Caenorhabditis elegans: one gene and its partner. The protein of the gene in region 1 interacts with the protein of each later gene in a pairwise test. Each region holds a gene or a part of one and is shown in the gene's direction. Other genes may lie near its edges. The genes, in order: C40A11.7 and pas-2.

The links.
Region 2: the proteins of C40A11.7 (region 1) and pas-2 interact in a two-hybrid assay, tested with the Caenorhabditis elegans proteins (2 studies listed by BioGRID).

Annotation. Positions count from the first base shown.
Region 1 is NC_003280.10:2,148,702-2,152,631, reverse strand, and holds C40A11.7 (BTB domain-containing protein), read left to right. Parts: upstream 1-2,080; intron 2,081-2,203; 5' UTR 2,204-2,321; coding exon 2,322-2,441; intron 2,442-2,596; coding exon 2,597-2,845; intron 2,846-3,018; coding exon 3,019-3,133; intron 3,134-3,647; coding exon 3,648-3,826; 3' UTR 3,827-3,900; downstream 3,901-3,930. Other genes in the region: C40A11.8 (G protein-coupled receptor), read left to right, coding at 1,697-2,080.
Region 2 is NC_003283.11:10,768,244-10,772,035, forward strand, and holds pas-2 (Proteasome subunit alpha type-2), read left to right. Parts: upstream 1-2,124; 5' UTR 2,125-2,137; coding exon 2,138-2,175; intron 2,176-2,220; coding exon 2,221-2,297; intron 2,298-2,350; coding exon 2,351-2,597; intron 2,598-2,641; coding exon 2,642-2,975; 3' UTR 2,976-3,108; downstream 3,109-3,792. Other genes in the region: ocr-1 (Ion transport domain-containing protein), read left to right, coding at 1-4, 98-211; D1054.1 (PNPLA domain-containing protein), read right to left, coding at 268-390, 435-581, 898-1,026, 1,072-1,146, 1,192-1,297, 1,354-1,436, 1,491-1,582, 1,636-1,681; D1054.3 (SGS domain-containing protein), read left to right, coding at 3,220-3,236, 3,310-3,505. UniProt on the Caenorhabditis elegans protein: The proteasome is a multicatalytic proteinase complex which is characterized by its ability to cleave peptides with Arg, Phe, Tyr, Leu, and Glu adjacent to the leaving group at neutral or slightly basic pH.

The DNA of each region.
Region 1 (3,930 bases):
GCGCTTTTCGACTGCCGCAAAATATTGATTAAAATTCGAGAAAAATGAATGTTTGTGATGAATCAAGTTGTGAGAATAATCGGATAAAAATTTGAAATCACTGTGAACCTAACGTTTCACAAAATGAACACTTGTTTTCATTTGAATTTGGTGAAAAAACTTACGTAACTTCAGAAACTAATCAGCTACGCAAACTTTGAATAAATTTTCTGAAAGTAAAACTTAAGATCATGTTTTAAGTTTTTTCATAAGAAAAAAAAAATACTTTTTCGTTGAGTTGGAACAGTTTGAATATGCAAAACTACTGTTTTCAACTGAAAAACGCAAAATTTACTTCAATACTTTTAAATTCTCAGTGAGATTATGATATTCGGTCGTTTAAAAAAAAACAACAAACCAGTATAAAATGGCGACTGCGGTGATTTTCAAGACATTTCTAATCTCCGTATATGTTCCCATCAGAATGTACAGCGAATGGGCAAATGTGAGTTGTTGTTTACCGGTAACCTTATAATCTGAAGCCGAGGAAAATTCAAGGAAAATTTAAAATTTATTTTCGGAAAGAGCATAGTCGAAAACCTATTCCGGTGAAATTTCAGACAAGTTGTGCATATAGTTTTCGATAAAACTTCAATTTAATCAAGATTTTACACTTTCTGCTTTTTAAAAATAATCTGGCACGGTTTGAGCACATTTTTGAATGGTGCGGTGCGGACGCGTTGCGGTCGCGTTAAGGTGCGGTTGCGTTGCGGTTGCGTTGCGGTTGCGTTGCGGTTGCGTTGCGGTCGGATTTTACAACTAACTTTAGCATTGAGATTCAAACTTTAAAAACTCGATTTTTGAGTTTTCCGTCAATTTTTCTGAAATTTGAAACCCGTAACGACTATTTTCAAAGAACTTTGAAATAATTTAGTGATGCGGCGCGGTCGCGTCGCGGTCAGACTTTTCAATTAACGTTAGCATTGAGATTCAAACTCTAAAAACTTGATTTTTGAGTTGTCCGTTATTTTTCTGAAACTTGAATCTCATGTTGATTATTTTCGGTAACTTTTGAAATTTTTAGTGGTGCGGTGCGGTCGCGTCGCGGTCAGCCAAATTTTAGTATTGAATTTATTTGATCTTTTTCTGGGTTTTCAAATAATCTAGCACGTTATTGTAGTTAATCTAAATAATTCAGAATGTTTTGACTAAAAACAAATTTCTGACAATGTTCTTAAAAAAAATGTGTTCTAATTTTCTCGTGGTGCTGTTTGGTCTACAAAAATGCGGGAAAATTTTCCCCAAAAAGTGTGACGTCAGCACGTTCTTAACCATGCGAAACCACTTGAAAAATCTGCGTCTAAATTCCCGCATTTCTGGTAGATCATAACGAAATGGGACATTCTGACACCACGTGATTTTATGGAATTTTGTGAAATGAGTTATTCATCAACTGAGAATTTTGAAAATTTTGAATAAAATTATAATATTTTCAGTTGAAAACTATAGTTTTACAAATTCAAACTATAATATCTCAGAGCCAAATTTGCAATTTTTTTTTGAAAAATTACCAAAAGTATGCCCAAATGTTTCACTTTCAGAAAGTGTATTCAAAATTTCTGTAGCTTATCGGATACTTAAATTACGTCAATTTCAAAATTTTCAGTTACTCGTCTGCGTCGTAATCGTTGCTATCGAGTATTACCTACATATAATAATGTTGGATCAATTCAATGAGCCATTCACGCCCACGCACTACACTCTACTGAAAAGAGCCAAGGCAACAACTGCTCAGAAGCTATTCATAATTATTTTCATGGCCTTAACCGAGGCCTATTACATAGGCCGTTGCTTCATCAGCCTGGTCCCCTGGGCAGATCAGGAGGAAGCCTATGAGATTCGCGATGTAACCCGATTTATCCTTCCGATCATCAATATCTTATCGATTCCCTTGATCTACGTGGCTTGCTTGGCCTATTACTCTGAAGAGGTTGCGTTTAGCGAGATGGTGCCCGACAATATGGTGCTGAGGAGAGGAGTGTGTAGTTGGGAGAGGAAATCTCGAAGATGGATATATGAGGAGACGATTTTTAGTTTTTAGTATGTGGTTTAAAATTCATAGGTTTTTTTTTAATATTTCGTTGATTGTGAGCTATATCTACATATTTCCTTGTAACGGAATAAATAATTAAATAATTTTTCACACAATTTTGGGAAAACTGAGGTCACCTTTCCCGAGGTGCTCAGAGGAATGCGATGAGCAGGTCGTCAAAAAAATCGATAAAAAGCAACAGAAGGAATCTTCTGTAACACAAGGTATTCATTCTTTGTGACTACTCAATATGTGCTCTTCTGAGACAATTGTCAAGTTGAATGTCGGCGGATCTGTATTCGAGACGTGGAAATCGACACTGACCAAGCAGGATGGATTTTTCAAAACATTAGTCGAGACGAATATTCCGGTTAGTTTGTTTCTTTTTTCGCCAACTAGGAAATCATGTCCAAAAATCAAGTCTAAGTCCAGTCCAGGCCGGTTTGTAAGCCTATATATTCTTAGTGAAATCATTTGTGGCCCGTTCTCCAGATATAACAAAAAAGTCAAATTTTTCAAATTCAGGTTAAAAAGGACACTTCCGATTGTTATTTCATTGATCGCTCTCCAAAGTACTTTGAAACTGTGCTAAACTACATGAGATCCGGTGTTACAGTACTTCCAGACTCTGAAAAAGAACTACAAGAACTGAAAAAAGAAGCCGAATTCTACTTGTTGGAGCAGTTGGTAGACTTGTGTGAACCTATAAATAATCAAATCCGAACTTATCGCTCGTCTCATGAATTGCTGCAAATCATCGCCAGCACCAAGAAGGTAGGTGTTATTTATTTTCCCATATGTATATATATATATGTATATATTTCAGTTTCAGTTATATATATATATATATATATATATATATATATATATATATATATATATATATATATATATATATATATATATAAATATATGCTATTTTAATATCATTTTGATATCATTTTCAGCCAGTAGTTGTGATTAACTACATAACCCATAATAACGATATCATATACATCCCAGAAGGATTTCGATTCGATGAGTTTGTTAAGAAAAACAGTTCAGTGGTAGAAATCTATTTTCGTGAGTTTTTTGGATTTTTTTCGTTTTCGGAAAATTTTAAAAAAATCATTAAAATTCCGAAAATTGTAAGTTTTGAGGATACTACACCGGCCTGTAAATGTGTCTCTTTGGCGAAAACTAGCATAACTTTAGAACCTGATTAGCTACAAAAATGTCAAATATATTTTCTGAAAGTTAAATTTACAGAGATATTTTTGGTAATTTTTTTTAAAAAGTGCCATATGTTTTCTTAGAGATATAACAGTTTGCATAAATAAAACTACTGTTTTCAACTGAAAAACGCAAAGTTTACTTCAATTTTTAGAAATTCACAGTGACAACCGTAATTTTTATTTTTGATTTTAATATAGAAAATGACACAATTGACTTATTTTTTAAAATTTTATAAAAATTAGATTAAAAAATTTTTGGAAAAAAATTGACCTAAAAATGTTTTTTCATCGCAATTTGTTGAAACATGTCTGATTAATTTATTTAGCGTATTTGTAACAAATTACTTAAAATTATTTTGCAGAACCAATGGATAATCGAGAACCTCTGCCAAAAGATTTAAGGAGACATCGCGGAATGAAATATTACCCTGAACCAGTTTGGAGTTATCGCATCTACAACAGTACGCATTCAGGTTGCGTTGATTTAACAGCTATGGATGATCTACAGAAGAAAATCGATAGTATTTTGAACGGAGAATGAATACCCACATATTATTTAATATTTCAAATGCATTTATCAAATTTTTTACATTTGTTTTATAATGAAAATTCTCGAAAACTTCTCAAAAAGGTACGGCGGCGTCT
Region 2 (3,792 bases), on another chromosome or scaffold:
AAGAGTAATTTTATTATTTTAAAATCTAGTAGTTTTTGATAATTACTGCGGAAGCAAGTCATATTTCTTATCTGATTCAAACTTTTACAACTTTCAGGAACACGAAGTGAAGGCAAAGGCACTGGCAATGATGAGTGCCAAACTCCACATTGAGGTCAAAAAACGAAGAATTCTCAGGCAGCAAACTGTTGATGCAAACTCGAAGATGTGAAATTCATATTCTAATATTAATTTTTTATTTAAAAATTAAAACAACATTTATAATAGTTATAAATTTTTCTTGATGAATATATCTGCATCACTAATACCCATCTCGTAATATTGTTTCAAAATAAACCTATTTGGTGGGAACAATGCTCGAGCTCCACGATACAAATTTCGTCTACTCGCCTAAAAAATTAAATTTCAATTGAATCTTATTAAATAATAGAAACCTTGAATATTTGTTTACCGAATTCAATGTTCCAGGTTGAAGGATCATCCGGACAAATATCGGCTTGACTGGAAAACGGAGAGCATGTTATCGTCAAAACGTCTGGAAATGTGGGCAAATTGTTGGTCATTCCACCATCGATGCATTCCTGAATTATTTTAATTTATTAGTCCATTGTATTATGCGAACACAAAACTCTGAGAATGTGTATTGCGCAAAATGTCTCGTGGCGAAAACTACAGTAATTCTTCAAATGACTACTTCAGCGTCTGTGTCGATTTTTAATGAGAATAACACAAAGAAAAAAAAATCAAAAATTGAGCCCGTAAATAAATCGACACAAAAACTACAGTAGTCATTTAAAGAATTATTGTAATTTTCGCCACGAGATATTTTTGCGCGTCAAATATATTGCGCAATACGTATTCACAGAATTTTGTGTTCCCGTAATAATATAAATGCACCTCTTGATTAATAATTGGTGGAACCCCTTTATATCCCATTGAATACATTGGAATGTAGCAACTGGCAAGAAGGCATGATATCAAATGATCACGACTGTCAAATTTGTTGATCATTATATTTTCCCATTTCTAGAAAACAATTTTTATGAGAGTTTCAAGCGTATTTGTTCTTACTTTCAATTTGGTTATGGAAATATGCAATCTTCCCTGAGCATTTGCAATATCAGTCGGAAGAAAGTCGTCTATGATCTGAAAGTTTCCTTTTTCTTCATCTGAAAAATTAGGGATGCCTACTGTAACTAGTTGTTCATTCAAGTAATATCCAGGAGTCATGGCACCAAATCTTTGAGCATGAACGTGATCTGCCATTGAATACAGTGTGTCGATTGCAGCATCAAGTCTGAGTAGATTTAGATTATTGCCTACTTTCTATTATTCTAGGAAATATGTATTTACTTTTCAGGAGCCAAAGCAAGAATTGCAGCAACTAAACTTCCTGCAGATGCACCAGCAAATCGATCAACTTTCTCTCCAATAGTCTGTTAGAATTTTTACATTTAGTTTTTGAACTCTTGAACTTAATTTATTTTTACTTTTTTTTCTTGCATCAGACGTTTTGCTGCTCCGAAATTGTAAGCTCCAAGAAATCCCGAACCACTAAACGACAATGCCAACTTTGAAACATCTGAAGATGAGGATTTCAAATAAAACAGTTGGTGAAAAATTAGAAATTCGTACCTTCTAGTTTGTTTAGTCGTTTCAGCAAAATAGTCGATATTTTCATAGTTATAGATTTTATATAATAAAAATTAAATCACAAGTGTCTCATGGTAAAGAAGATTTCCAATAAACATGCCACTGTGTTGAAGAAACTAAATAAAAACAAAAGTGACGAATTACAGCGTTGCCCGCATGGAGGAGTTGAGACGATGAATATGTTTTTAATTTATGTGAAAAAGATAAAAATCAATTAACGAAAAAATTCACATGCATTAAACATTTAGAGAAGTGTAAACATTTTAATTTTCACAATAAATGTTTGGTAATTAGATTCTCCGGGAATTTTGCGTCGATGAAGTGGTCATAAAGCGCGCTCTACCGCACTCAGTTCGAATGATGACAATTTCACCGGGTTTTCTTTTTCATTTGCTCCTCGCTTTAAAGCAAACGCTTTCTTGTTGTCAATTGGTGTTCGATTAAATTTCTCAGTTAAAATAAATTTTTCAGAAATCACTGAAAAATGGGAGATCACTATGGATTCTCACTCACCACCTTCAGGTAGTTTAAATTCAATCTCCAGAAAAGTCAATTTTATTTTTATAGCCCATCGGGAAAATTGATGCAAATCGAATATGCATTGAATGCTGTCAAGAATGGGCAACCATCGGTTGGACTGAGAGGTATTCAAGTTTTTGTCTTGTACTGTCGTTTTCAATGGGAAATTCATTTTCAGCTAAAGACGGAGTCGTTCTTGCGACCGAGAATGTCGGATCTGTTCTCACCGATGACCAGCCAAAGGTAGAACAAATCAGCAAGCATATTGGATGCGTCTACAGTGGAATGGGACCAGACTTCCGTATTTTGGTGAAGAAAGCTCGCAAGATTGCTATGGAATACGAAATGATGTACGGCGAGGAAATGCCAACCATTCAACTTGTCACTGACATCGCGGCCGTAATGCAGGAATATACTCAATCTGGGTGAGTTAGAACTTTTCTAAACGCACTCTATTCAGATTTTTCAGTGGTGTTCGTCCGTTTGGAGCATCGCTTCTTATCGCAGGTTGGGACAAAAATCCAGGACGGCCATTGCTCTTCCAATGTGATCCATCTGGAGCTTACTTCGCATGGAAAGCAACAGCACTCGGGAAAAACGACGTCAATGCGAAAACATTCCTCGAGAAGCGCTTCAGCGAGGCCCTCGAGCTCGATGATGGAATTCACACTGCTCTTCTGACACTGAGAGAATCGTTCGATGTTGGCATGAACGAGAACAACGTTGAGGTGGCTGTTTGTAACTCGACCGGATTCCATCGGCTCACCAAGCAACAAGTCCATGATCACCTTGGAACTCTTTAAATCGAGTGATTTCACAATTTTCTTTCTTTCTTTTCTCTAATTTATTCTATGTATTCTCCCATCTATCCGTACCCGGTAGTAATCTCTTTTTGCTACGGTGTTTTGTTGGAACAATGAATCCTTTTACCGTTTTACACCCGACTTTTGAGGTACTTTTATTAAGGTGTATAACCCTATTAGGTTGTTTATCTTGACTGAATTTTCTCAGACTTATGAACAAACTTGTTTTCAGCTATTAATCAAAATGTCTTCAAAACCAAGGTGAGCATTAAAATTTACAGGATAGTGAATTTTAAAAATTTTGAAATAAGAATTCGTTACATTCAAATTTCAGGCATGATTGGTTCCAGAGTGAAACTGATGTCACTTTAACTATCCTAAAACGCGGAGTGCCTCTCGATGATTGCTCTGTTTCTCTATCAGATAACAACACACTGACGGTCAAGCAATGTGATGAGATTCTCTTCTATGGACAATTATCTGGTCAAGTGAAAAAAGATGATCTTACTGTAAAATGCACTGCCGCCAAGGTTAGTTGGGTTGAAATATTATTGTAGATCCATTAGAAACTAGAAAACTAGATAAATGTCTAAACGTCAAGATTTTCTAGTGATCCTCCCAAGCATACCTTATTTATTAAATTATGGTTATTAACATTAAAAACATGTTTTCCGGCCATGGAAAATTGATTGGAATTTGTTTAATTTTAGTGTAGTTTATTTTAACTCGATTGAAACAGTTATTCAAGAATAGTCTGAGAAATTGCGTCTAGTCAGAAAATGCTAGCTATTAATGCTATTAATGCTCTACATTCACC